Macaca fascicularis: one gene and its partners. The protein of the gene in region 3 interacts with the protein of the main gene of each other region in a biochemical or structural test. Links are inferred from orthologs where the notes say so. Each region holds a gene or a part of one and is shown on either strand. Other genes may lie near its edges.

The links.
Region 1: the proteins of LRRK1 (region 3) and BAG3 form a complex in vitro, tested with the Homo sapiens proteins (2 studies listed by BioGRID and IntAct, with this or other methods). The link is inferred for Macaca fascicularis from reciprocal best matches to the Homo sapiens genes LRRK1 and BAG3.
Region 2: the proteins of LRRK1 (region 3) and GPBP1L1 form a complex in vitro, tested with the Homo sapiens proteins (2 studies listed by BioGRID and IntAct, with this or other methods). The link is inferred for Macaca fascicularis from reciprocal best matches to the Homo sapiens genes LRRK1 and GPBP1L1.
Region 4: the proteins of LRRK1 (region 3) and NUDT16L1 form a complex in vitro, tested with the Homo sapiens proteins (2 studies listed by BioGRID and IntAct, with this or other methods). The link is inferred for Macaca fascicularis from reciprocal best matches to the Homo sapiens genes LRRK1 and NUDT16L1.
Region 5: the proteins of LRRK1 (region 3) and FLT4 form a complex in vitro, tested with the Homo sapiens proteins (2 studies listed by BioGRID and IntAct, with this or other methods). The link is inferred for Macaca fascicularis from reciprocal best matches to the Homo sapiens genes LRRK1 and FLT4.
Region 6: the proteins of LRRK1 (region 3) and CD2BP2 form a complex in vitro, tested with the Homo sapiens proteins (2 studies listed by BioGRID and IntAct, with this or other methods). The link is inferred for Macaca fascicularis from reciprocal best matches to the Homo sapiens genes LRRK1 and CD2BP2.
Region 7: the proteins of LRRK1 (region 3) and SNX9 form a complex in vitro, tested with the Homo sapiens proteins (2 studies listed by BioGRID and IntAct, with this or other methods). The link is inferred for Macaca fascicularis from reciprocal best matches to the Homo sapiens genes LRRK1 and SNX9.

The regions. Positions count from the first base shown.
Region 1 is NC_088383.1:128,663,472-128,667,508, reverse strand, and holds the start of BAG3 (BAG family molecular chaperone regulator 3), read right to left. Parts: upstream 2,801-4,037; 5' UTR 2,505-2,800; coding exon 2,325-2,504; intron 1,806-2,324; exon of another isoform or gene 1-1,805. UniProt on the Homo sapiens protein: Co-chaperone and adapter protein that connects different classes of molecular chaperones including heat shock proteins 70 (HSP70s), e.g. HSPA1A/HSP70 or HSPA8/HSC70, and small heat shock proteins (sHSPs), e.g. HSPB8.
Region 2 is NC_088375.1:189,087,566-189,091,011, reverse strand, and holds the end of GPBP1L1 (vasculin-like protein 1), read right to left. Parts: intron 2,695-3,446; coding exon 2,592-2,694; intron 1,420-2,591; coding exon 1,267-1,419; 3' UTR 501-1,266; downstream 1-500. UniProt on the Homo sapiens protein: Possible transcription factor.
Region 3 is NC_088381.1:86,092,220-86,095,719, reverse strand, and holds part of LRRK1 (leucine-rich repeat serine/threonine-protein kinase 1), read right to left. Parts: intron 3,191-3,500; coding exon 3,018-3,190; intron 1,918-3,017; coding exon 1,797-1,917; intron 1,552-1,796; coding exon 1,392-1,551; intron 241-1,391; coding exon 1-240.
Region 4 is NC_088394.1:5,507,096-5,511,105, reverse strand, and holds NUDT16L1 (tudor-interacting repair regulator protein), read right to left. Parts: upstream 2,563-4,010; 5' UTR 2,554-2,562; coding exon 2,401-2,553; intron 2,315-2,400; coding exon 2,054-2,314; coding exon of another isoform or gene 1,984-2,053; intron 1,344-1,983; coding exon 1,122-1,343; 3' UTR 501-1,121; downstream 1-500. UniProt on the Homo sapiens protein: Key regulator of TP53BP1 required to stabilize TP53BP1 and regulate its recruitment to chromatin.
Region 5 is NC_088380.1:187,556,034-187,560,155, reverse strand, and holds the start of FLT4 (vascular endothelial growth factor receptor 3), read left to right. Parts: upstream 1-1,322; 5' UTR 1,323-1,337; coding exon 1,338-1,788; intron 1,789-4,122. UniProt on the Homo sapiens protein: Tyrosine-protein kinase that acts as a cell-surface receptor for VEGFC and VEGFD, and plays an essential role in adult lymphangiogenesis and in the development of the vascular network and the cardiovascular system during embryonic development.
Region 6 is NC_088394.1:28,493,692-28,497,799, forward strand, and holds the start of CD2BP2 (CD2 antigen cytoplasmic tail-binding protein 2), read right to left. Parts: upstream 2,801-4,108; 5' UTR 2,731-2,800; intron 2,224-2,730; 5' UTR 2,198-2,223; coding exon 2,120-2,197; intron 1,840-2,119; coding exon 1,704-1,839; intron 1,579-1,703; coding exon 1,421-1,578; intron 1,321-1,420; coding exon 885-1,320; intron 805-884; coding exon 698-804; intron 632-697; coding exon of another isoform or gene 613-631; coding exon 502-612; 3' UTR 1-501. UniProt on the Homo sapiens protein: Involved in pre-mRNA splicing as component of the U5 snRNP complex that is involved in spliceosome assembly.
Region 7 is NC_088378.1:66,161,195-66,165,222, reverse strand, and holds the start of SNX9 (sorting nexin-9), read right to left. Parts: upstream 2,801-4,028; 5' UTR 2,612-2,800; coding exon 2,600-2,611; intron 1-2,599. UniProt on the Homo sapiens protein: Involved in endocytosis and intracellular vesicle trafficking, both during interphase and at the end of mitosis. Required for efficient progress through mitosis and cytokinesis. Required for normal formation of the cleavage furrow at the end of mitosis.

The DNA of each region.
Region 1 (4,037 bases), on a different chromosome or scaffold from region 3:
ATGATATTCTAGGATTCTCCACTACATTTAGTCTCCAGCAAGGTGTAATTCACACAAGTGCAACCAGATATTGTGTGCGTCTAAGAACAGGGTTGAAAGCAATGAAGCACAAACAGCTAATGGGCTGAATGTTAGTTTTCTCCTTAAGTTTTGGTGCCATGCTGACAAGTCTCAAGTCATTCACTTCGTAAAGAGAACTCTTTTCTTGAGTTGATGACGTCCCATCATCAAAATCCAAGCAACCACAGCACAGAGGTCAGTGACCCAATAACTTGGTGGCCAGGAGGGCACAAAGATAATCAGGTATTCTAGCCTGCATGCTTCAGTTTCACAAAACATTCACTTCCAACTTCTAACAGACACACCACCTCTTACTAGAACTTTCCTGACATTAGTTCTCTCCCTGTAATTGGTACTAGCTGGATGACCTTCAAAGTCACACCTGAATTCTCTGGGTTTTTCAGAAAATAAGAGATCTTCTAACTAAGAGATCTTCAAGGACCTTTCAACTTAAAAATTTTGACTATGAAATTTTCAAAGAAACCTTTCCAGCATCAGACTTCTGATGTAATAGTTCTTACTTTTTATTTATTGAGAAGAATAATGGCAGCTAAACCTGCTTTTTTTCTTTTAATAAGGTTTATGAAACCACAGCCTAACCCATGCACCAGGTGGGTACAGGAATATCTCAACTTGCTGGGTAAGTTTCATGCTGAGAACAAAGTGCTGGGAATGTCTATGTTCAAACTTGATCTTCACTCACAACAAAGGCTGCCAGCAGATACCACTGTCCCTATGTCCACAGGAAGAAGGCCTCAAAATAATAGTTGCAAACCACACTAAAGATCAGGTACATCCACGCAGACGCCTAAGAAAGGTGGTTTGAAATGAGTGTCAGTTTCACCCAAAAATGGGCTGAACACACACACAAAAAGGTATATGCAACTGTGCCCACCCCAGCTAATTACAGCCTCTTGTATTAATTTTCAAGAATAAATACACAAGTAATCTCTCGTAAATGTAAACTGCTGCCTGTACAGTGTCTCACTGTTGGGCACCGGAGTTTTATCAATATTGTTAAAACAAAAAGTGCATTAAAATGAAGGGAAATAATACAGGTCTTTCTTCTAAAATAATGGGTTACAAAGTATTTTTAATTTGGTGAGTTTTAAAATCTTCAAAATAATTTACCAGCTCTTTGCTGCTTTTATCTTGCCCAGACGGCAGTAACAATTACGCTTTAAGTATAACATTTTTTTTAAAAAAACTTTTTATTTTGAAAGCTCAAATTTATATAAAATTGAACGAATAGTATAACTATGATTTTTGAAAATTAACAGACTCATTCCAAATTTACGTTTTCAAATTTCATGCTCTTGGGGATTAGGAATATCGTTGCATATATGTAAATGAGACATACTTCTGCTGTATTCCCAAGAGTATCATTACTCAGTTATTTGTGTACTGGTAACAAATTCTAAGTATTTTAATACCATAACAAGGCAGGAAGCGAATGCCATTATAAATATACACGTATCATTCTCTTTCCAGTGTGAGGCAATGTGGTAAGGCAATGGCCAACTGTAAGTCTCAGATCTCTAGTTTAGAAACTGCTGGGGAGAAGTGCACCCTCTTTTATATTTTACAAGTCATACTAGGATACATTCGTATTGAAAGCACTTTCAAACAATAATACAATTTTAATTTAAAATACACACACACGCGCGCGCACATATATATGAATGTTTTGACACCAGCCTCCTGAGTCATTGGGTGCCTAAGATGGGACAGCAAACAAGATACCCCTCAACCAAGTTGGAGAACTTGAGCGGTAAAATTCCTCCCAAAAACCACCATCCAAGCTTGCGAGGGTCCCCCTCGAGTCCGCGGTCAGCGGGGTGCGCCGCGGGTCCCGGGACCGGAGGCCGAGCCGGCAGCAGTGGCCGCGGCGGGCCGGAGCCTCCGGAGCTGACCAGGCCGGCCGCCCCCTCCGAGCCCGGGAGCGTGAGGCCAGCGTCGGACACGCGGCCCTCCGCCCCGAGTCGAGCCGTGGACGGCACCGGACCCACTGCGGGGTCGCTTCCCGGACCACCGGATCGCGGGGCCTCCTCTCGCCCCGACTCCTGTAAAGGGCGGGTCCGGAGCGGGGACTCGTCCGGGAGCACCGGGAGTGTGTGGCGGGGCGCGGAGCCGGTGTCCGCCCGCAAGGGGCCTTCGCCGGCCACCGGGCCCCGCCGCCTGGCGTCCCCCCGGCCCAACCCACTCCCCGCCGCCTGCCGTCGAGGTGGCGCCGCCGACCAGGGCGGGCCGCGGGCCCAGCTCACCTTGGGGCCCTCAGAGGGCACGCGCGGGTCGTTCCACGTCGTGGTACGGCTGTTGTGGTCCACGAAAAAGGGCCAGCCGGTCTGCGGGTCGATCTTGATCTCCCAGCCGGGGGGCAGGGGGTCGCGGTCACCGTTGCCGGACGCCACCTGCATCATGGGCGAGTGGGTGGCGGCGCTCATGCTGGGTCGGGGTCTGCCCGCCGGGGCGCGGGTGTGGGGCGCGGGCTCCGGGCGCCGAGTCTCTGGCCGGGCCGCCGCCGTGGGCCCCTCTCTGCCGCCGACGTGTCCGGGAAGCCGGCGCCGGGCACCTTTATGAATTAAAGGCGGGGGTGACGTGGCCAGAGAGGGGTGGAAGTGTCTGGAAATAGCCTCCTCGGTGCCAGAGGGGAAGGAGGCGATAAAGGGAGGTAGCAACTGGCCGGCTAGAAACTTCTGGTCCAGTCCAGAGAAGTTGGCCGCGGCCCGGGGTTGGACGCGGAGCTCCGCCCTGAGTCATCGGCTATAATCGCGGCGGGCGGGGCTGAGGGGCCGGGGCGGGGCCTCTCCCCGCTCGCCCCTCCCCCACCTTCTCCCGCCCCTCCCCCCGCCGTCTCGTGCGCGTGCCCGGGCCGGAGTCGCCGGGGGCGGGCGCGGGCGCGTCTTCGGGGTCCGCCTGCGGGTGGGGCGCCGGAGGAGCGGTACTGGGGGCTTACTCCGTGGCCCCGGGAGGGTTTCGGCTTTCGCACTCGCTCTCTCCCTCTCCTTTGCGCCGACTGAGTGTTCCTGGGGCTGGAGCCCGTGCTCCCCGTGCCTGCCGCCCCTCTTTCCTGTACAAAGCCATCTCGCCCACCCCCACCCCACCCCCATCCCCCAACCCCCCCATATATGATAGCCGGGGACCATGAGGGCTGTCCGGGAGGAGCGCGGGGACGCTCATCTGACACCAGAAGGAAGCCAGGGAGAAAATGGAAGTTAGTGCAAACTCACCTGCCTTCCTTTGGAAACTTCAAGAAAAAAAGAGATTGTGTCAGCTGATGGCTTTTAGTCTCCTAGACTAAAAAGAAACTTTCGTTGCGGTGAACAGCTTTAAAGAAAAATCACATTTTCTTGGATTCGGATCTTTTTTATGGTAGAAGTTGGTTCTTGCAGTCTTACATCTTGACCCTCATTTGGGAAGTAAAGACCGAACCTAACCATGACATTTTTTGTTTGGTTTATTCAATTGCACTTGTAACCTGTCAAAGGAGAAAATTACAACACATTTAAAGATCTTTTCTGTTGTTGTTGTTGCTGATTCTCATTTTTTAACTTTTGTTGTTAAAGATCTTAATTTTATTTGTGATTCTAGAATTGGGCAACACCTCCATTAAATTAGAATAAGTGCTCCCATGAGCTGAGCAGAAGAGGTTGATTTTATAGACAGAGAAGGGCTGAAGAAAGCAGAAACAAAGAACCAAGACTGGATTGGTTGTTTCAAAATTACTTTCCTTGTAAGGAGGGGACAGCGAGACAGAATCATAGAAAAATAACTGATGAGGGCTTGCCACCATGGCTCATGCCTGTAACCCCAGCACTTCGGAAGGCCAAAACTGGAGGACTTCTTGAGTCCCGGAGTTTGAGACCAGCCGGAACAATACAGTAAGACCCCCATCTCCACAAAAACAAAAAATAAGCCAGGTGCAGTGGCTTATGCCTGTAGTCCCAGCTGCTCAGGAGGCTGATGTGGGAGGCTCA
Region 2 (3,446 bases), on a different chromosome or scaffold from region 3:
GGGAGGCTGAGGCAGGGGAATGGCGGGAACCCGGGAGGCGGAGCTTGCAGTGAGTCGAGATGGCGCCACTGCACTCCAGCCTGGGCGACACAGAGAGATTCCATCTCAAAAATAAAAATAAAAAAGAAAGTATTTGTTGAATGAAAAAACCTGCTTCCTTCACTAGCCATCCGGCTAGCATCGTCCAACTCTCCCCCAACCCCTGCTCCAAGTTCTTATTTAGTAGGAAAACAGAATAGACTTCCCTTAAAATATGTATACTGGTAAATACATGGGCACTAAAAAACAGTTTCAGGGAAAAAAAAAAAAAAAAAAAACTTGGTTTCTGACTTTATTAGTGGTAATTTATTGCACAGGTTTTTCTGCATCAAAAAAGTATCTGCTAAAAAGAGAACAGTTGTGTCTGAATTCACATTTCCCCCCAACTTCTAAAAATATTTCCCCTAAAAAAGAATCCACTCATTTAATTTTAAAGAAAATATACTTCTTACACAAGACAATCCAAACTGATGCAAAATATTTATTCCAAGTTAGTTATTTTATGCAGTAGTTTCCCCCTCGAGACTTGTGATAACCACATCTTTTAAATCTGTAAATAATGTTATCAAAATAATCTTAATCTTTGAAATCTCACAAAAATTTATATTTTACAATCCACCCTGAATATCAAGGCTGCAAGATAACACAACATTTCCTATATCCAAATATTTTACAGCTGTACCCAAAAAGGAAAAAGAAAAAAAACAAAACAAAACAAAAAAAACAACCAAAAAAACCACGTATGCTTGGTTAAGGGCTAAAGTTACCCGAGCAGCCAAAAATAAAATAAAATATCCAAATTATTAGCATTAATTTAATACAATTATAACTTCAATAGTCACTTTGTCATTGACAATGATTGCTTGAGCACAGGGGTGAGTGCCCTAAGGGCTGGTAGTAGAAGCTGTTGTTGCAGACCGGTGTCTCCTCTTCCCTGCACTGCCAGCTCCTACCTGTGCATCACCCCATATATACTGGGGGTGTGTGTGTGTGTGTGTGTTTAAAAAATCTGTCCCACCACACAAACTTCTCTCTATTAAGCAGATAACAGGGAAGAACAACAACAAAAGCGAAACAAGCCAATCGCTCTCTCTTTGGGATACGATTATTTCTCTTGTGAATGAAGTATTCAACAACATAAGAAAAGGAAAAGAACGATTTCTTTTGTATACTCCCTAAACACACAGAGTTTACTGGGTCAAGATTTAACTGTGAGCATTTATATGCCTACTTCCAGGCATCGTCATCTGATGTTTCACTGCTACTGGTTTCGGTATCTGAGTCCTCAAACTCTGCTCTGCAAGTGCTTCTCCAAGGGGAGAACAGGCTGGAACTGCGGCTCTGCAAGAAACCATTCTTTCCAAAGCCATTTCTTCTCAGCTATGGTTAGCATGGGAGAGAAAGAAAAAAGAAAAAATTGTCCATGACTGCACTGACTCATGAGCCCTGGGAAAGGCCAGGCCTCAATTCAATTCTAGGTGGAATGTGGGATAGGGGGTGCTTCTAAGAGACCCTCTGAGATCTCTTATAGCAGTGTTTTTCAAATTTTAATGTACGAGTCATCTATGCATCTTTCAAAAATGCAGATTCAGATTCAGTATGTCTGGGATGGAGCTTGAAAGTCCTTTTTCTTTTTTTTTTTTTTTTTTGGAGACGGAGTCTCGCTCTGTCGCCCGGGCTGGAGTGCAATGGCACGATCTTGGCTCACTGCATCCTCTGCCTCCCGGGTTCAAGTGATTCTTTTGCCTCAGCCTCCCAAGTAGCTGGGATTACAGGCGTGCGCCACCAAGCCTGGTTAATTTTTGTATTTTTAGTAGAGATGAGGTTTCACCATATTGGCCAGGCTGGTCTCGAGCTCCTGACCTTGTGATCCGCCTGCCTCAGCCTCCCAATGTGCTGAGATTACAGGCGAGAGCCACTGCGCCCAGCCATAAGTCCTTATTTCTAACAGAGTTCAGAGTGGCAAGGTCTCTTACCAGCTTGTGCCATGCCCATTTTAAGAACTTGGCCAATTGTACTTTGTGCTGTAAATATATGCCACCAGAAGTTCAAGGATTTTTATAGAAACCCCATTTGTCTTGTTCACCCTAGGATCTAGCAGTGTTTTATTCAGAGAAAGAATCCAAGCAACTGCTGGATAAACTGACACAAGCTATTTAGCTTCTTAGCTCTGGCCAGAGGACCAGGAAACTACAGTGCAGAACAGGAAGCAGAGGAAGGTGAACCTGCTTCCTTAAAGACCAAGAGCTCAGACCATAACTCTGGAACACAGCCTTGTGGTTCTGATAAGGAGTTAGAGCTGTGAGGATGAAAGAGTATACTATTTTCTGGAATCTGCTAATAACTGACACTTGGTTTTTGTATCCAATACTGGGGATCCTTATTTCCCAGGCAGATTTAGGAGCCCCGCTACATTTCTACTAAGGTAATTTTCCCACCCCTCCCAGATCTTTCTCTCACATTAAACTAGGGCTCCCTCAGGGCAAGGACTGTCTGGACTCCTTATTCTCCTGGTTACTAACTGGTCTCTAGGAAGAAGGTTTACAACATACCTGCTCTGTCTTCATGTGGAACTCTTTGAGCTCATCCTCTGTGAGGGGAAGGCAATTCTCATCGTTTTCAGGATATTCTTGCCATCCCATTGCTTTCAATAACCTGGTGGATGCAGAAGGACAGGTAAAGAGAATATGACATCATCAAGCCTAAGTGAACAGCCCATCTCTTTTCACAGAAAACTTTTCTACCCAGGGACAACGGATGTTAAAGGAATTCTGTTTTCCTCCCTGTGGGACAAGCTTTAATTGTGGCTACTTGGGTGCCTGTAAATAAATGGAGGCTCTTCACAGTTGAGAGAGGAAGAGCTACAGAAGAGACAGTAGAAGCAAAACCAAGGCAGTGTAAAGAAGAAAGAGAGCACTTGCAAAATCTGGCTTTTTTTGGTGGCGGGAAGGAGCCTCACTCTGTCACCCAGGCTAGAGTGCAGGGTGCAATCTCAGCTCATTGCAACCTCCACCTCCCGGGTTCGAGCCATTCTCCTGTCCCAGCCTCCCTAGTAGCTGGGATTACAGGCACACACTACAATGCCCAGCTAATTTTTGTATTTTTAGTAGAGACAGGGTTTCGCCATGTTGGCCAGGCTGGTCTCGAACTCTTAACCTCAAGTGATCTACCCACCTTGGCCTCCCAAAGTGCTGGGATTACAGGCATGAGCCACTGTGCCCGGCCTGAAGTTAAAAATATTAAAGTATTGGAGAGTAGATTGTGGAAGAGATGGCTGGGTTTGTGACAGAATGTTTGATGGGCAACAGGCTAACCTGGGGCATACAAAGAGAACAAGTTATGATTGGGCCACTTCTCTCTGTATGTGGGACTCTATCTGAGATATCTTCTCCAGTATGTTCAAGGTC
Region 3 (3,500 bases):
CCAGGAACTGGAAGTACTGCTCTTCCGTCTGCTGTGTGAAGCCAGTCCCCACCAGTAGCATCCTGAGGTCTTCTGCTCTGATCACCCCATTCTTGGCCACTGACCGGGAGCCCTTAATGTTAAAGATCCTCTGCAGACATTCGGACAGCCAAATAGGGTCGAGGAAGTAGAGGTTCCTCAGGCCGTGGCTGGTGTCTGGGAAGTGTAGCAGGGTGCCAGTTTCTATGAGGAAGCTGATGGCTGCCCCAGGCAAGGAGAGGAGGAAGCAGCAGTTAGACAAAGGAGCGAAAGGGACTCTGGGGTGGCCTTACTTTCCAAGGGGACCCAGGTCACAAATTCTTCCTAGGAAGAAACCAACATGCCCCACATGCTGGACCCTTCAGGTGGGTTGGCAGCCTGATCACAGGTGCCCTGGTGGCCCCTGGTAACTCTTGCCAAAGTCCTAGGCTAATGGCCACCTCGGTAACTACAGTTGATCCTCATTATTTGTGGATTCCGCCTTTGCAAATTTGCCTTCTTACTAAAATTTATCTGCGACCCCCAAATCAATGCTCCTGTGGTTATTTGCAGACATGTGCTGAGTGGTGAAAAGTTTGCATTGACCAATGTGCACATTCCCAGCGGAGGCTGAACAGGGCAACACTCTCAACTCTCGTGCTGAAAACAGGGGCCTGCTTAGTGGTCTATGTCAGTGCCATGTTTTTTGAATTTTTGTGCTTTTTGTTGATGCTTTCACTGTTTAAAATGGTCCCAAGTGAAGTGCTGAAGCGCTGTGTAGTTCCCTAAGCGTGAGAAGGCTGCGATGTGCCTTATGGAGAAAACCTGTGTGTTAGATAAGTTTTGTTCAGGAATGAGCAACAGTACTGTTAACCATGAGTTCAATGCCAACAAATCAACACTATATATTAAGTACAGTGTCTTTAAGCAGCAACACACATAAAACAAGGTTCTGTATTGATGGGCTGATGAGAATGTTCTGACCAGAGGCTTGCAGGAGCTGAACCCTGCGTCTCTCCTAGGAGCACTGGTTTAGTATTTGCTATTTCAGTGATCATGGTGACTTTACAGAACATAAGTCCTGTGGCTAATGAGAATCGATTGTAACTGTTTGACCTCTGTCTCCCTGACTGAACGTCAGCCCTGGAGGGCATGGACCAGTCCATCAGTTTATATGTCTGCCCTTGTGGCCAACACAATGCTGGTGTAGAGTAGCTGTTTGTGTTCTCTACCTCCAAGGAAAGAAGGGTGAGAGGGAAGAAGGAAGGGGAGGGGGATGGAAGACAGAAACACAGGCTGATTATCGGTCTCTCATTCATTGCTGAGGGCCAGGCTGAAGTACAGACAGTTCCATTTCTCACGGGCACCCTGCCGCCCACCCCAGCCCCACCCACCCGACTGCAGGTCCTCGTAGTCTTTGATGTCATTGTCGGGCGTCTGCTCCACCAGCTGCTCCAGCTGCCTGTCCGTCAGGTACTGCACGTCGTCGTCCAGGCTGCGGCGCTGCTGCTCTGCCAGCACGGCCTCCTGCAGACTCAGGTAGCTCCTGGGGATCTGGGGGACAGACGGACGAGGCAATTCCCGAGGCATGCCCGCCAGCTGGGGCAGATCCTGCCTGGCCCCTGTGGCCTGAGTGGGTGGGACATTTCCACCCACTATCTTCCATCCTGACCCTCCCTCACCAAGAACGACTGAGCCTTGCCACATGGACATGGGCTTCACAGGAGAGAGGGGAAGTGAGGATCCCCAACAATGGGAAGCAGGCCTACTGGTTTAAGCTGGACGAGCGAGGTACCCACCAGCCTCCCTGCCAGTCGCTGGCAGCCGATGGTGCTGCCCACGTCCTTCATGCTGCACGTGACGTGGAAGATCAGCTGCCGCAGCCCTTCCTGGCCTTCCAGGCTCTTGCAGGAAATCTCACTGTGTGCAAAAAGACCCGTCTTTACTCATCGTGCCCCACTCCGAGGAAGTGCTGCAGCTTCTCTGTTTTCCCAAGAGGTTTGTCCTGAATGCTGGCAAGTCTGGAGAACTCATGAAAGACAACACAAGAAGTTTACTGAGGCCTTGCTTTGTGCAAATCACTGTGCTGGGTGCCCCACACTGTCGCTTTAGTCTGTCTTCCTAGACCAAACATGGCACTTCACAGAGAAGGAAAGTGAGGTGCAGAGGTACATTGAGACCCCCAAGGGCACAAGCTGGGCAGGCACAGGCTCACGCAGGCTGGTCTCAGGTTCTGACCCAGAGCCAGGGCTCCTCTTATCACAGACCCTATGGGACTTTCTCAAGGTCAAAGCAATAATTCCTGACAGCCTCATCCCGTATTCCGAGCCAGGCCAATGTGTCCCAGGCTGACCCACGCACCAATACCCATGACGCTCCACCCCGGGCGAGGGAATCTGAGAGCTGCCAGGGCAGCTAATGCAATGTGCAGTATATTTTACTCCCATTAGGGCACACAATTTGCTGAACCTCAGCTTCTTCATCTACAAGGTGGCAAACAATCCCCACAACCAGTGACAGGAGGTCAGCCCAGGGCAATTGAACTTATCTGCATGGACACGTCGTGATGCCCACCCGAAAGCCCCTCCCAACTCTTGGCCTTTTTTAACTCAAAGGCTGCTATCAGGACCACTCAGACCAAAGGCAAGGGCTAGGTCCTCCCTCCCCAGGGTCTGTCCTTGATCAGTGATCAAAAAATGAGATGGGCAGCAATTGGATGGGTGGTGCCCATGTTCAGTCACCTGGTTCAATGGGCACCATGCAGTTTCAGCACTGGCCCTTGGGGCGGGGACAGGGCAGAAAGGAAGCAAAGAGGGGGCATCTCCAGGCCTCACCCAGCCAGCTGTCTGGTAGGTCTTCACCCTCTCCAAGGCTGGGTCAGCTCTGTGGACTGCCCCCCCTTGGCCAGGGAAGGGGCCTAGCCCCACCCAGCCTCAGGAGCTCTCTGTAAGCAGATCCCAGGAAGGATCAGCGACTGGCACCCACATGAAGGCGGGAGCTGCTAGAGGCTGGGCACTCACTGTAAGTGTTTGAAGGTGATGTCTGGGAAGCCTGTGGCCCTGGAGCCGGAGGGGGAGCGGCAGAGCGCCAGCACATAGGCACGCAGCGTTGCAATCCTTTCCACACGGAACTTGGCTTCAATTAAATCCAGGTGTGTCCCGACCACCAGCACCACGGCATTTGGGGCCTTGGCCTGCAACAGAGAACCCCACGGCTGAGTATCGTCTCTGTTCACTGAACAAGGGACAGGACAGAGCTCCCAGCTGTGCTGACCCCGGATGCCACAGCCCTTGCTCAGCCACCAATCTGCAGCCTTGAGATGGTTTGGATGTTTTTCTCCTCCAAATCTTATGTTGAAATGTGATCCCCAGTGTTGGAGGTGAGGCCTGATGGTAGGTTGGGTCATGGAGGTAGATCCCTCATGAATGGCTTGGTGCCCTCCTGCAGTAATGAATGCATTCACCCTATGTCAGTTCACAGAGGAGCTGATTGTGAAAAGGAGC
Region 4 (4,010 bases), on a different chromosome or scaffold from region 3:
CATAGGACAGGGCCTCCCCCGACATGTTGCCCTCACACCGAGCGCTGAGATGATGGCGCTGGGACCACCACCTCCCTCACCAGGCCAGGCATGGGCTGTGAACATTTTCTGACGATGCCACTGGAGTCTTTCCAGATGTGAGGCTGTAGGAGACCACGAGGGATGGCTCTGCTGCTGTCCTTCTGCATAGTAAGCCTGCACTGCTACACCAGCCCCTGGAGCTGCTTGCAGATGATGGTGGTGTAGGGCGGGTTTGCAAAGCAGGTCAGCTCAGGTGCAGCCAGGGCCATCAGGATCAGGAAGGGGAGCCTTCCCTGAAGGTCTCAGCCCAGATACCCCAACCTGGCTGATGGGCACAGCGCTTATGCTGGGAGTGCCCCCAGTCAGCACTGGGGACAAACATGCCTCTGGCTGGGGCGGCTCCTCCCTCCCCCTAGGGCAGGAGGCCTGAGCTGGCTCCATCCAGAACCGAAACACACAGAGTAGCTGAGAAACACAGAGCAGCTGAGGAGTGACTTTATTGTCTTCTCCTTCGACAGCTTCGTCGTACATAGCTGAGCCCCCGAGGCCCTGACTGTCCCTGGGAACCAAGCCACGTGGGGTGAAGCTACTTTGAAACCTCACCCACAGTTCACACATGGTGAAAGAGAAAATCTAGCAAAGTAAATCCAACAACCACCCAAATTAACAGTATTAACTTCCTACCCCAAGTTGGCTCTCCCCCAGGCTCTGAGCTGGCTCAGGAAGGAGGCAGGAATGCTGACCTAGACGAGGCATCCTCCACCCACACATCCCGTCTTCCGAGTGGCCCTGGAGCTGTGCGCAGTCCCTGTGGGCCTCCACCAGCCGGGATGAGACACACACACAGGAGGGTCTGAGCCTGGGAGGCTGGAGAGGCAGGCCCAGCGTGCCCAGACCACCCTGCTCTGCCTGAGAGGATGGGCTGGGTCCCAGCTGGCCTGGCCACCACCTAGTGACTGCTTGGGACAGTGGAGATGACAGGATGCCCCTTTGCCCTAGGCAGTCAGAAGTGGGGTACACACACACACTCTAGAAGCCACACTTGGCAGGAATTCCCAGTCTTCCGGCCCAGGGGAGGGTGCCAGCAGCCCAGGCAGCCCTCAGGACGAGGCTGGGAGCAACTTCTCCAGGGCCTTCTTCTGCTTCTCGGTGGCCGCAGCCAGGGCCTCAGCCAGCTTCTCCTCAGGCATCATGTTGAGCACCTTGAGGGCAAAGAGGAGCTGGCACTTAGCCGTGCTCACAAAGGCGTTGCTCAGGAAGTTGGGGAAGCCTCCGACTCGGTCCTTCTGGGTGTACAGCGGGACCCGCACGAGGCCCAGCACCTGTGCAGACAGGAGGTAGGGGTTGGGGCCAGGCCTGCCACGCAATGGCACCCCCGGCAGGAGGGGCCTGGAAGCTAGGAGGCCAGGGTATGAGCAGCCAGCTTTGCCAAGGACTTAATGGGAGACCCAGGCAGGACCTGGCAGAAGCCAACCAGCTCCCTTGGAGCAGTGCAGCCCCCTCCTCCCCAAGCAAGTGTGGAGGCTGACCCCATGCACTTCCCCCTCGTACCTAGACCACCACCCGGGGTCCACACCCCATGCTTCCCGTCCACCCAACGAAGCCTGAACACCTGGAGTCCAACCCTTCCAGACCACAAAACACAAATACCAAGAGCCTTCACGCCCCCCATGAGGTTTCCAAGTTTTACGACCCCCGCTGTGCTCAAGTTTCCCAACTCCCCAAGCAAGCCCCGCTCCTCCCCCATCCCTTCCTCCCCACCGATCCCACTCCCCACTCCCAGGATTGGCAATGGCAGCAGCAAGGCAGATGTAACACAGCCCTGAGGGAGCCCCAGCCCCGGCCCCCACCACCGCCCCTCCTCTCCCGGCCCCCCAGCCCCAGACCCCTCTCCCCACCCCATTGCTGGAGACAGCGACACCCGACCCAGCCCGGCCAGGGGACCCTCAGGAGACGTGTTACCCATCGGTGCCTTCCACGGGGCCAGAGCCAAACCCCGGGGCGGGGGGCGGGGCCCGGGCGGCGGCCCCACCTCCAGGCCGTGGTCGCGCGAGTGCACCGCGCTGATCTCCACGGCGTGCAGCTGCTCCAGCGTCAGCTGCCGTGCGTACAGGTGCGCCACGACGCGGTGGGGCCCCTCGGTCAGGTGCGAGCTCAGGTAGTCGGCCTCGGTGAGGCGCAGGCAGCCCAGGCCCAGGCCCAGCACCCGGTTCAGGCCGTCCTCCAGCGACCAGAAGCGCCGGTCCACGAAGCCCCCGGGGAAGCCCAGCAGCCCATCGAAACGCATCTGCATCTGCAAGGGAGCGCGGGTCAAAGCCGGGGGATCGTCGGACGCCCCCGCCCCGGCCCGCCCGCGCCCGCTCCCGCTCCCGTCCTCACCAGCACCGAGAAGCGCATGGGGATGCGGCCGAAGAGCTGCCCAGGGTTGGCGGCGTACAGCATGGCGTGGCACGAGTGGCTCCAGCCCGGCCCCAGGCGCATCGCCTCCACCCGGCTGATCTGCTTCAGCTCTGGAACCGCCGCCGTCGACATCTTGGCACTGACCCCGTCCCCGTCGCTGCCACTTAAGAGCATGCGCGAGCCCGCCCCCGCCGCGCCTCACCAATCCGCGGGCGGCCGCACCCCCGGGTCCCGTTCCCCCGCCAATCGCCGGCGCACCCCGGACCGAGCCCCTCGCAGCGCCGCGGCGCGTCGTCGAGAGGTGCAGCGAGCGGTGTGCAAAGGAAGGCGGTGAGCGTCAGCCGTCACCCAATAGTCGCACACCCCGGGCGGCGGCCCCGCCTCCGACGGGATCGCCCAGTCGACTGGTCGGTGCCGTGGTGGCTCAAGGTTCACACTGTGGTCGACGAACATCTTCCTTGGCGCTCCAAAGCAGACAGCCGAAAATCCCTGCGGTTTCTCCACCCTCAATGGCGCCGATCCCCCTTGCGCTCACCCGTTTCTCCCCAGGAGGCGGACCCGGCCCGCATGGCCCTGTGCATCCGCAATGGCGCCCTTGGCACGACCACACAAGCCAGAAATGCCCCGGAGCCTTGCTCTGCCAGCGCCACCGGACCCGAGCCCGGAGGGCGACGGCCTTTTCCTGCCACGCACGACAGCAGTCCCGACCTAGCCACCCTGCTGGCCGGCTCGATCCAGGACAGCACAGGAAGCAGGGCCAGGCAGGGCTTGAGCGCCCCAGTCCCCGAGTCCACGCTGGGTCAGGGCAGACGACTGGGAGCTCTGGGGCTCTGTGGACCCAGCTTGCTGAGCAGAAAGTGACTTAAATTCCGGGGCTGGAGCTTTCCAGCATCCTCCATGCCAGGCACCCCGTGCTGTTGGGGGAAGAGGGGCTTCCCCAATTTACGATGAGGAACTTGGAGCTCAGAGAGGGACAGAACTTGCCTAAGTACACCCAGCAGCTAGTGACAGAGACAGGATCCCGATTCCACAAGAGCCTGAGGTACTTACCTTGTGTTTGTCCTGGAGATGTCTCAGGCTCAGAAACATCAGAAACAGGCCGAGAGCGCGAGGTCCGCTGAACTCCATGATGGCAAGGCTCACCTCACCAGCAACAGGGCCCAAGGCCACTTTCCTCCCCACGGGGGGAATGGATTTGCTAAGTACATGAACCACCCGCCTGCACTCACAGCATGGGTGCCCAGGGCTGGGGCAGAGTCTCAGGAGAGCTGTGCAGTGAGGCCAAGCTCACTGGCACAGAGAAGGCTGCCTTGAGTGGAGCCAAGCAGGAGGAGAGGTAGGCAGAGGGTGGGCACTGGAAACTCACCTGTTAGGTCCATGGTGGTGTCAGATGTGGAGAATAAGAACCCAGAGAGGGCACCTCTGTCTCCTCCTATGGCCACCAGTGGGTCAGGGGCCACATGGGACAGCGGCCACATGGGACAGCTGCAGGCAGCAGGGGAAGTCCAGATTCCAGGGTGAGCGACCATGTCAGAAGGCGAGAGGGCAGCAAGGGGAAGGGTCCTTCCACCCAAAGAGGGCCCCCACCC
Region 5 (4,122 bases), on a different chromosome or scaffold from region 3:
AGCCTGGTCAACATGTTTAAACCCCCATCTCTACTAAAAATACAAAAATTAGCCGGTGTGGTGGCAGGTTCCTGTAATCCCAGCTACTCAGGAGGCTGAGGTGGGAGAATCTCTTGACCCCGGGAGGCAGAGGTTGCAATGAGGTGAGATCGTCCCACTGCACTCCAGCCTGGGCAGCAAGAGAGAGACTTCGTCTGAGGGGGAAAAAAAGTATATTCTGAAAAGAAAAAAAAAAGCAAAACATATATTTTGGTGATAAAATGATAAAGAAAAGCAGGGAAATGATAATGCCAGGGTAGTGGCCATGTTTGGGGGTTAGTGAGGGGTCTGTGATGGGTGGTGAGGGGATGTGGGGATGTCATTCTATGTCCCTTGGCCTGGGGAATGGAAACGCAGATGTTTGCTGCTTTAAAATTCAGGTTTATAATATGCTGATATATTATGTACTTTCCATAAGTGTGTTACATCTCATAATAAATCTTTCAAAGCTAAAAAAAATCAATATATGATTGATAAATACCTAACTTCATGTATCATTTGGTTACCTAGTTTCCCCAACCTTATTTATTAAATTTTCTAAACTATCCTCACTGATTTGCGATTCTAGCTTAATAATATAGCCAATTCTTACCTGGGTTTGAGAGAGCTAGTAGTGGTTATCGAAAATCTACTCTTGCTTTTTGGCGAGGATGAACGGACTTTGGGGGGCGGGGTGGGGGGATGGAAAATGTGAATGAAACGAAAAGCAGGGAGGGAGGATGAGACAGTCATGGTCATGGGCTTTATTATTAAACAGGAAAAATCTAGAGACAAACTGAAAAGAGAACGGAAGTCTGTGAGAGGGTTGCCAAGTCAGAAAGCAAAAGCAAAGTGTCGCTTTATTAAAAAGGTGGGGGCGGGTCCTGATTGAGCTGAGAACAAAACATTTGGGGGGGGTTCTAAAGCTTGGAGGCCAGGCCTGCAGGGTGGGGGTCGGTTATCCCGGGTGTCCCGCTCAAGGGTGCAGCTTCCATCGGCACTGTGCATCGCCACTGTGCAGGTAGTTAAAGACTGCTGGACGGGTTTTGTTTGCTTTGTTTGTTTTTTTGAGGCGGAGTCTTGCTCTGGCTCCCAGACTGGAGTGCAGTGGCTCGATCTCGGCTCACTGCAACCTCCTTCTCCCGGGTTCAAGCGATTCTCCTGCCTCAGTCCCCCGAGTAGCTGGGATCACAGGCGCGCACAACCAAGCTCGGCTTATTATTTTATTTATTTATTTGTTTATTTTTGAGACTGGGTTTCCCTATGTTGCCCAGGCTGGCGCCAATATTTTCAAAGATTTAACATACTGCTATTTTTACATGTACTGCTTTTTTGCTTACTCTGGATTTTATCGATGGAAAGAAAGGACAGAAAAGGGCGCGTACCGCATTTTGTGCCCCTTGCCCACCAGGCTCCATTCCCTCCGGAGCGCACACCGAGGCCGTCTGCGTTACCCGCGTCCCCGCGCCCGGAGCCGCCCAGGAGGGGGCCCGGACCCCGCGGTGCAGAGCGCGCACTGCTCGGGTGGACCGGACGCCCCGCGGCGGGCTGGGAGGGACCGGGGGGAAGGGGGGGCGCGGGGGCGGCCTGAATCCCTGGCCCGCCTCCCCGGGTCCCCGCCCCGCCCCGCCCCGGGCCAGCCTGCGCCCGCGACGACACTTTCAGCCCCGAGCCGCGGCCGCTCAGGTCGGACCCACGCGCAGCGGCCGGAGATGCAGCGGAGCGCCGCGCTGTGCCTGCGACTGGGGCTCTGCCTGGGGCTCCTAGACGGTGAGCGCGGGGCCGCCGGGGAGGGGGCCGGCCGGGGAGGGGGACCGCGCACCTGGGGCGGGCGCTGAGACCGCTCCGACGGGGACGGGCGGGGGACACGGTGGCCCCGGTGCGCGGACGCCTGAGGGAGCACGGCGCTCGGGGCCCGGGACCTCGGGATGAGGAAAGGGCGGGCGGGGACTGCAGCCGGGTCAGGGCCAGGGCGGCCGGGCCGCGCCTCGGCGCAGGGTTCGCCCTCCCGGCCCCGAATCGGCTTCTCCGTGGGTGGCTCCGGGTCCTCCAGCCGGGCCCCGTCGGGCTGCGCGCTGAGCCTGGATCCTTCGTGCCCTTCCTCGCTTCCCCGCGGGGTCTCTGCGCCGCGCCGCTGGCCCGACCCACGCGCACCGGAGATCCCGGCCATCCCGGCCCCAGACCGGGTGCGCACTTCCCGACGCCCGACGTCTCCGCTCGCGGGCGGTCCCCCAGAGGGCGCTCGAGCCGGGCTTCCACCTCCCGCGGCCGGGGCTGCAGCGCAGGGGCCGGGACTCCCGTGCGCAGGAGGCTGACAGGTGCAGGTGCAGGTGCAGGTGCAGGTGCGCGCTGGGACCTCAGAGGAATCTTGAGGAGGCGAATCGGGGGCTGTCAGCGCGGCAGAAGGGGCAGAAGGCCAGGGGTCCCCGGATTTGAGGGGACAGGGGCCTTGAAGGCCGGCTGAGGAGCAGAGGCCCCCGCGGGAGGGTCCCCTGCCCAGGAGAGGCGGGGTTCGGTTTGTGTTGGGAATATGGCTCTGGCGGGGAGGGACCCAGACCTGAGGCGGAGGCGGAGGGGTTGGAGAGAGGGATTGGGGGGGATGAGGGAGGGGCAGAGGGAGTGGATGGAGATGTCAGGATAGGGAGTGGATGGCGATGTCAGGATAGGGGAGTGGATGGCGATGTCAGGATAGGGAGTGGATGGCGATGTCAGGATAGGGAGTGGATGGCGATGTCAGGGAGGAAGCTGAGAAGATGAGCTGGGAGTCCACACGGAGCTGGTGTCTCTGGAAATCAAAGGGTGGAAGGGCGGGGTCAGGGGTTCCAGTGTCTGAAAGGGGAGTGCCGGGAGCTATGAAGCCAGCGATGGGGACCTCAACATTTCTGCACGCCATAGGAATTAAATACTGGCTTTACATGCTTGTAATTCTCACAGGGAGTGTCAGACTCATTTTACACATGGAGAAGCTTAGAGCAAGGACGTGTGTCACTTCCCCAAGATCCCCAGGAGGCCCAAAGGAGCCCGACAAAGCCTGCCTTCTGCCCACCACCTGTATGTCCACGGGCTGAAGGGCAGAGGCCAGGAGAGGGGACAGGTCTGGCTCAACCAGGGGAGGAGGGAGGAGAACATCTGTCTGGGCCCCTGAGTCGGGCAGGTCAGATCAGGGTGCTGCCCTTGGCCCTCCTGGACCCCGCCCAGGACCAGGCTCTCACAGGTGCTCAGGATGTATTTGTGAGTGGCTGTTAGAGCTTGGTTGGACTGCAGGGCTGTAGAATGGGAGACACTTAACCCAGAGGAGACATGGGATGGGCGCCTGAGTGCAGTGTCTGAGGCTGAGCTGAGGACCTGGAGAGGGAGCAGAGAGACCCAGGAGGGGACCCTGGAGGAGGGGCCCAGAAGGCAAGGGGGCTTCCAGGGAACATTCTGCAGGTCTGAGGAGAACCCGGAGAGGCCAGTGTGCTGTGCTCCCGGCTGGAGCACGGCGGGATGTGGGGTGAAGGGTGACGAGACCATTTTTTGCAGTGGGTGCAGTGACTTAGCGACCCAGTTATGAAGAGGAGAGAGGGCGTAAGTGGGGGCCCCATGGAGAGGGGTGTCCTGGGCTGGACCTGGGTTTGGCTGGTGGGGAGATGGCAATAGAGACTGAGGTCATCCCTCCCTAAGCCCTGCACCTTGCTCTATCCCCTGCTAGGCTGAAGACCCCGGGAGCCCCCAGCTTGGTGGGGGATGCCATGGCGGGAGCACAAGCCCTCAGCTGCAGTCGGGTGTCAGAGCAGCTGGGTGGGAGCAGGCCGGAAGCCTGAGCACCGTGAAGCTGACCCCTTAAACATGTGCTGTTGGTCATAGAACCGGACTTGTCCTGCCTCCCCCGTAAAGTCATTTCTGTGTGACCTGGGCCCCCTCCTTTCCCCTCCTTGCACCTCAGTTTCCCCAAGCATAACCATGGCATACGCTGGCAAGCACCGGGGTTGTGTGGGTTGTGTGTGCTTGGGCTGGACTCCAAGACTCGGTTTCCTGCTTCAGTTCCACAGTCTTGCCCTGGTGGAGAGGGTAGGTCGCAGATGTCTCTTGGGGCTTCGTCTAGAGAGAGGCCATTGGCACCTC
Region 6 (4,108 bases), on a different chromosome or scaffold from region 3:
AAACGTTTCCATGCCCACCCCCAACAGAGACCCAATGTCTTCTCCATGCCCCGGTCCTTCCAGGCCTAAAAGCTCCACTTCTGGGGCTCCATCCCCTGGTGGCTACAAGGACAAAGAATCTGACATCCTGAAAGCCAAAGACCTAAGGGGAATCAAACAAGAAACCTCAGAGAGGAACACAAAGTAGCGCAGTTGGGGGTGTTTACACAGCAAGCAGAGTCCAGGCAGTGAGGCCACAGGACACCTGACAGGCACCTCCAAAGAAGATCTTCATGGGAGCAAACACTCAGGGACCAAGGCAAGTCCAAAGTGGCTGTGGAGAAGGCCCCTGGCTTCTGGCCGTCAGCACAGCCAAGGCCCCAATACACAACTAAAGGCTTTTATTGGGAAAGGGAAATTGACTGAAAAATGGCCTCCAATTTCCTCACTGCCTGAGACACTTGGTGCCTTCTCCACAAAGTCCAGGAAAGAATGACCCACCAAACTGGGCCCCCAGCAGGCTCAGGTGTAGAGCTCAAAGTCAATGCGTTTGGAGTTGTAGAACTGACCACCAGGGGGGTCCAGCTTCCGGCAATAAACACCGTCCGGGAAGTAGCCTTCACTCACCCAGGTCTGCAAGGAGAGGGCAGAGCTGGGGAAGGACTGACAGGAGTAGGGGAAGCAGGGACAAGCCAGAAGGAGGGAGAAAGCAGCTCACCTGCATCTGGGCGCTGGTGAAGGGCCCATACAGCTCGGCATCCCCCGTGTTCTCCCACTTATATTCCCACATCACATCCACCAGACCATCTCCTGGCGACTCTGCTTCTAAAATAACAGGCAAAGCCATTTGACCTCCGGTGTCTCACTTCCCGCCCACTGCCCCCTCCTCTGTCCTCCAAGCTTACCTCCTCTCTGGGTAGGGGTTGGGGTCTCCAGTTCCTCCTCTGCCACTTCCTCAGCGAACATGTCCAGGGAGGGTGGGGGTGTGGGATTGTGGGGTCCCACGGTCTGACACCCCAAACCCTTCAGCCGCATAGCCAACCGTTCCCTTGTTTCCTGGTACACGCCAAGGTTGCCCCGGGCCACCATCTGGTCGGCCAACCCGGAGAGCCGGTCCAGGCGCTGAGGGGAACTGGGACGCCCAGGCCCCTTGCTGCTCCCTTTGCCTCCTCCTCGGGCCCCTAGACGCCTCAGTGCCCCAGCCACTGTCTCTCTAGGCAACAGAAGCTCCAAAAGTCCCTCCAAGAGGGCTTGGGCACTCATTGGGGTCTGGCCCAAGCTGTCTTCCTCCTCCGAGTCTGAGGCCTGGTGCTGGCCAGGTGGCCGCTCCCGGATCTTCACCTGTCATGGAAAGATGCAGTGATTTCCCACGAACTGCCATGGGAGCAGGCCTAGCATCCGCCACTCCCCGGCCCCAGCCACACCAGCCCCTGGGCCTCACCCAGTCAATGTTGTCCAGCCAGCTGTCTCGGATCTGAGCATCCCGGTTCAGGAAGTAGTTGCCATCAGCATCAAAGTGTCCTTCCTCCATCTCCTCCTGCAGGTTAAAGGGTGTGATCCGAACACCCCCCTCGCTGGGGAGTGTGGCTGCCTCCTGACCTGTACCAAAGACACAGGTGCCCTTTTCTAGGCATGGAAAAGAGAGACTGGAGCCTCCCTCACTCCACACCACCAGAGGCCCCTACTTGTTTCTCCAGCAGAGTGTATTCTTGGGTACAGCTCACCTTCTACATCCTCTGAGGCCAGGATGTCGTATTTGCTGGACCCCCCATCATCATCATCCTCCTCATCGCTATCCAAAGAGTGTTTGCCTTTGAAGCGGCTCCCAGGACCCCCTGACCCAGCCACAGGGTCCACCAGCTGTGAGCAGGAGTCAAGTCAAGAAATGCAGGTTACTGGCTACCTCCCCAAATACTTCCGGATCTGGACCCAAATATTCCCCAAATATTTCAGGATCTCGACTACTTCCCCAAATATTTTAGGACCCACACTGAAGATGCTCCCAACCCATTCTTCAGAGAACCTGAAAAAACTAGGCTTTTCTCTGCCTGCCCGCCCCGCCCCACTCCCGCCAGCTTTCTTTCTCCTCAGGCTTCTAGCTCCTCTCTTTCCCCCACACAAAGGAGTCTGGCCCCCTCACCTTCTTCTTGGGGACACTGATTTCATCCTCATCTTCCTCATCTCCCACGCCTTGGAAGGTCACTTTCCTCTTTGGCATGACGGGGCAGAGAGGTGTTTCTCAAGCTGAGGAAAGGATACAGAGAAAGAGAATGGGGTGAGGAGGGGACTCGCCACCAGAGGACCCAGCACAGCAAATATTTTTCCTGGTCTGTGACAGGTACAGTTTGGGAGCGGAGGGAGCACAAAAGCAAGGGCTGAAGAGAAGCTGGCAGCCAGGAGGCCTGCAGGACTTGGGTCTAGCATCCGCGAGTTAAATGGGGTGGGGACGGAGGAGCGGACCCTCTGGATCCCCTGACCCTGGCCAACAGGGAACAGACTTCACCACGTGACCGCTCCCAACTCCAGCCCCCGCAGTCTGGGCGCCACCGGCTCGACCGGCTGACCCCCGCCTCCTACTCTGGCTCTCTCGGAGCTCGCGGGGCCCGGGCAGACCCAGGACCTGGCGCTCTCGCCACCCCGTTCCTCCCTGCTCCGAACTCCCAATTCCGTGTGGTGAGCCCCAACTGTCCCGGGCTGTGTACAAATTAGAGGGCCACGGGGATCCGGGCTGTCCCACCCTCGCGCGCTCACCTGGGACTCCGCGGGAGGCGAGGTGGCGAAAAGAAGAGATGCTTGCGCCAAGGCTACATCCGGGGCACCCGGCCGCCATCACCCGGAAGAGGACTGTGGAAGGCGCCTGGGAAGCCCGGAAGTGGCTTCACTCGGGTTAGGGAACTAACTGGAAGAGCGGGCGGAAGTACGCGGTGAGCGAGGGAAGACGCCTCCACCCTCTCTCCCGCAAGAAGTGACGTCAGTCGCGTGGGAGGACAATGGCGAGAAGAGGGGACCTGTGAATGCCTACACTCTGACCGGGCGTGAGAAATGGCCGGAAGTACCTTCGATTCCCTCATTCAAGCAGTAGAGGCTCTGGAGAAAAACGAGAGCATCTACTTAAAGGGTCGCCCAGGGTCAGGATGGAGGGGCAAAGTCCGAGCAGGGCCAGTGGGTCGCTGCCCCGTTTTCCTGTGCTGGGTTCGAGTCACCCTTCCACCAGGGCTGAGGGCTCAGCGCCCCTACCGTCTCGTTAGAAATCCTGCCTTCCCACTCCTGTGGTCCGGTGGTAAGCTCTCCTATCTGAGAGGTGGAGCCTTGCCCTCCCCGAGGGGAAGCCTGGCTCTCCCGATGGCCAGCCCGGGGCCCCTGGACGGCTCTCGGGGCACTTTCTGGACACAGCTCCCTTTAGGACCCAGGGGAAGTCATTTGTCCCACGCCCATACCCTGGGCGAGTTCCTGGCTTCTGAGGTGGGAGAGCCATCACTGGAGAGGTGGCATTGGCACCAGTACCCAGGCCAGAAGTCCCTGTGCCCTGCTCTCAGATAGGCCTGGAAAAGGGCAACAGTGCCTCTCTGTAGCATGAAGCCCCTCTGAGCAAACAGGGCCTAGCACCACGGCCTGGAAAAGGGCAACAGTGCCTCTCTGTAGCATGAAGCTCCTCTGAGCAAACAGGGCCTAGCAACTCGTGCCCAGGTAACAGAATGTGGCCCAAGCAGAAGCGGGACTGGGGGAGGTGGCGGGGGGTCAGCCCCTGTACTGGAACCTCTAGCTCTTGAGGACACTCGGAGCCTGCATCCCCCTAAGCAAAGACTGCCCAGGCGGCACCTGCTGGAGCCAGACGAGGACAGTGTGAGAGTTCCCCTACTCTTCCCCAAGGCAACTAGATGGGCCACTTCTCTCTCCCTAGGGATTTCCTCCCATATTGGATCACGATGGAACTGCACAGAAAGTCCATGCTCAGTTTCTTCCATGGTTACAGAACACAGGCCCCAGACCAGGAAGGCATGTTGCTAAAGAAGGGGACCCGAAACCTCAGCTACCAGCACCGATGGTTCATCCTCCAAGGAAACCTCTTCTACCTAGAACACCAGACCGATCATGCACCCCTGGGCCTCATCCCGTTGGAGAACTGCCA
Region 7 (4,028 bases), on a different chromosome or scaffold from region 3:
ATAGCCAAGTTTCTGGTAAATTCAAAGGGAAATGAACATCCCCTAAAATATCCAGATCCTGAATTTACGTTTCATCACTTAATACTTACAGCAACAGCCTGAGTGCCACTGGAGCCATTTATTAAAAATTAGTCATTACTACTAAGCACATTCTCCCCACCCTTGAAGAAGACGAAGAAAAAAAACAGAACTACTCAGGTGTGGGGAAGGGGTGTGTATATGGGGCAAGTGAAAGTAGCAACTTGTCTCTCTGGGGACAATTAAAAAATGAGACTTTGGTTTGACCCAAGTATCACCAGGATGTCAGAAAACTAAGGAAGGGTCTTCTTCTAATAACTGCTTCATTGCTCTTCTTTTTCTTAAAATGGAAATGGTCTGTCACAATGTAGACATGGAAATGAGCACCATGTGGAACAGTGATTAGACAGCGAAAGAAACTAACAGAATTACTGGAATTTGCCTTCGGAGTGGTGTAGATAACGAAGTAGGAAGTGCTTATGCATGTTTTAAGGCTCGTGTTTAAGCAAAGACACATGCAATTCAAGATTAATATACAAGAACCACTTTTCAATTTTTTGAAAAAAAAATTAAGTTCAGGCTTAACTATGAAATAAAAATTTCACTACGTATACCTGCACTAGTTGCTAAACTGCATTCCACTTAAAGGACAGTACAGGTAACATGCCTCAGTAGACCGGAGTGTAAAAACACACAGACCACCACTGGACAGATCTCTATGTCATACACCGCCTTGGTTTTTTTTTTTTTTTCAAACGGAGTCTCCTCGCTCTGTAGCCCAGGCCGGAGTGCGGTGACGCCATCTTGGCTCACTGCAACCTCCGCCTCCCGGGTTCAAGCGATTCTCCTGCCTCGGCCTCCCGGAGCAGCTGGGGCTACAGGCGCGCGCCACCACGCCCAGCTAATTTTTGTATTTTTAGTAGAGACGGAGTTTCACCATATTGGCCAGGCTGTATGGAGCTCCGACCTCAGGTGAACCGCCCACCGCGGCCTCCCAAAGTGCTGGTATTACAGGTGGGAGTGAGCCGCCGCGCCCAGCCTATAAACCGCTGTTAAGGTTGCAAGATGAGCGTGTACTAGGATGTGTAACTGGTAATTTCTGGAGTGTCTGGCAACAAACCTCAAAATCAAATTTCCTTAGAAATCCTTGGCCTAAGTTTTATTTTTAAAAAGGTCAACACAAAATTAATAAGTTCAAAAGGTGGCAAGTTCTATCACATTAATAAAACCAAAGCACAGCACAGGCAATAATATATTAACAAGAAGGTAATTATTTCAGTAACAGCAGCAACAGGTTCCCTGGAGGAGAATCCCCACTTCTCTATAAACGCTGCACCTAGATGGATTCAGAGCACAAAATTTACCACAGGACAACATCTAGCAGACCGAAGTCAAGCAACGCTGATCTTTTAAACAGATTTCACATTTCTTACCATTTCCTACCTTAACACTCCACCAAAAAAAGCAAACACCTATCGAAATATAAAAAATAACGTTTCTAGCAACCCAAAAGTAGCTCAGAGATCTCAAAAAAAAAAAAAAAAATAGGGAAAGGGGTGCTGATGCTAATAAAGTGACACTACAAAAACTAAGTGCAAAAGTAAACCTACTCCTCACAGCGTATCACAGAACAGTTAATGGTTCAGGTACAGAGCCTCCTCCCCCAGGTCCTCCTTCCGCGACCATGACTCCCCAGTGACTATTTTACACCAAGTAACTACTGAAAACGCCCAAGGAAAAGAAGTGGGGGAGGGTGGCTTTTGAAGATTCAGGTAGCAAAGAGTGACTGCTAATTTCATAAACAATAATGCAAAACAAGCAAACCACCGCTCCTAGCCAATTACCAAGCAGGAGTCAAAGTTCCACCACGTAATTCGGGCCTGGGCCTTTTTTAGGCAAACACGTAATCGAAAGCACAGTCATTTCCCTCTTGATATTTTATTCATGCCGGCAATACCATTCACACTGAGAAGGTAGCAAAACAAAAGAAAAAAATAACAGCAGAGAAGGCAGAGGGGCGCGGGGTGTCCCAGCCTCCGTCTCTCCCCGGCCGCGAGCTCCCGCAGGCCGGGACGGGAAGCGCAGCGTCCTCTCTGCTGAGGTCTCGACCCCCACCCGCCCCACGGGGCCGAGGGTCCCCTGGGCGGCAGCGGGAGGGGACGTGGGGGCGGCGGGGACGCCAGACGCCGCGGGGACACCGGACGCCACAGAGAGCCTGTCGCCTCGGGGGCCTCCCCGGGCTGCGGGAAGTTTCCGTCCCGCTCTCGCGGCCCCTCCCGGCGAGCCCGCCGCAGCCCACGCTCAGGTGCAAACTTCCCAAACGTCGCTGCGCCCGGGGTCCCAACCCGCGCCCAGACCCGACGCCCTCCCCCGGCGCGATCCCGGCCGTCTGCACGGTCCGCCGCACCCATGCCCAGAAGGGACTGGCTGGGCCGCGGACCCGCCCGGGGACCCCACCGAGGACGCAGAGTGACCCCTCGGCCACCCCCGGCCCCAACCCTCCCCGCGGCCCCAGCCCCGACCGTCCCCGCGCCGCCGCGGGCCTGAGCGACCGGCCGGGCCTGCGCTGCGCGCCCCTCACCTTGGTGGCCATGGCGGGCGGGTCCCCCGGCCCGGGACGGCCGGCTTGTCTCCCGCGCCGCGGATGGTGATTCTGAGCCGCGCGGACGAAGGCAAGGGCGAGGGCGGCGGCTCCGGCTGGGCCCCGGCGCGGCGGCCGCTCCTGCGCCTCGGCCCCGAGTCTCGACGCTCAGGCCCAGCCGCTGGGCGCTCGGCTACTCCCGCGCCGCCCGCTCCTGCAGTTCCTGAAAGTCCCCGGCTGCGCGGCCCCCGCCCCTGCCGGCCGAGCCTCCCATTTACCGCGGCGCGCGCGGCGCCCGGCGGAAGCGCGCCCTGGGCCCTCGGCCGCGGCCCGGCCTCCTCGCCTCCTGGCCGCCCCCGCGCTGCGCCGCGCCGCGCCGCCGCCCCGGGCAGTCGCTGCCGCCGCCGCCGGGCGCCCTGGGTCGAGGACGGGGGCTGCGTCCCGCGCGGCGGCGGGATCCGGACAGGCGCCCCGGGCCATGGCCCGCACCCTGCGTGGCCGCCCCACGGGAAGCGCTCCGCGGCCCGCACAGCCGCTCGGGGGAGCCGAACCCGACTCCGGTTCACGCTCGGCCAGCGCCGCACGCCGTGGCTCGGGGCTTTCCGTGCATGAGGCGGGCGGGGGGGCAGGAACTCTCGACGCTCCCGGCAGACAGGAGCCCCGCAACCCCGCTGTCTTTGCCCCACGCCGGGGGTGTTGCGGGGTCGCCGTGCCCTTGGCCGAGTACCTTGAGTGCCACGTAAACAGCCGGGAAGGAACGGAGCAATGGCTTCCTGGGCCTCTTTCTCCTGCCCGGAGGCTCCCTCAGGCTGGGGTCCTGGCTTGGAGCCCCTGGGACGGGACGGTGGGGGGTTCGTTTTGTGACGTCCCATTAACCTCATTCTGGAATCTTGATAAGTTTAAAAATGCCCGAGGGCCCAAGAGGTTTAGGGGACAACAGGCTCTCTGAAGTGGAAACGAGGGCTCTAAAATTTTCCATCTTTCTGTCAGTGTTTCTCTCCAGGGTTGGAGATATATATATGGGTGTTATGAATAAACGAATGACTTGAATTGAGCAGCAAGATTTTTCGCTCAAGGACAAAACACAACTGGAAGATGTATCATAATTGGCATATTAGTGGAGTGCTTTTTTATTATGAGGGATATATTTGTAAGAAGAGACAACTATCAAATCTTCAATACTCTGATATTTAGAGTTAATGTCAAGTTTGTGTCTCCTTAAATACATTCTATTTGACCTGAGGTTTCACTAGTTACATTCAATAATGTGGTTTAAAATAGATACGGTATCGCAGAATTTTCTGTGAATTTTTGTGTTTGTTGAGCTCATGGTTAAGCTATAGTCATCATAATATGCATAAATAGTTGTCTTTCTCCATAAAAAAAGATGGAGGCCAATATTCATTGACAGCCTGCTTGCTAATATACT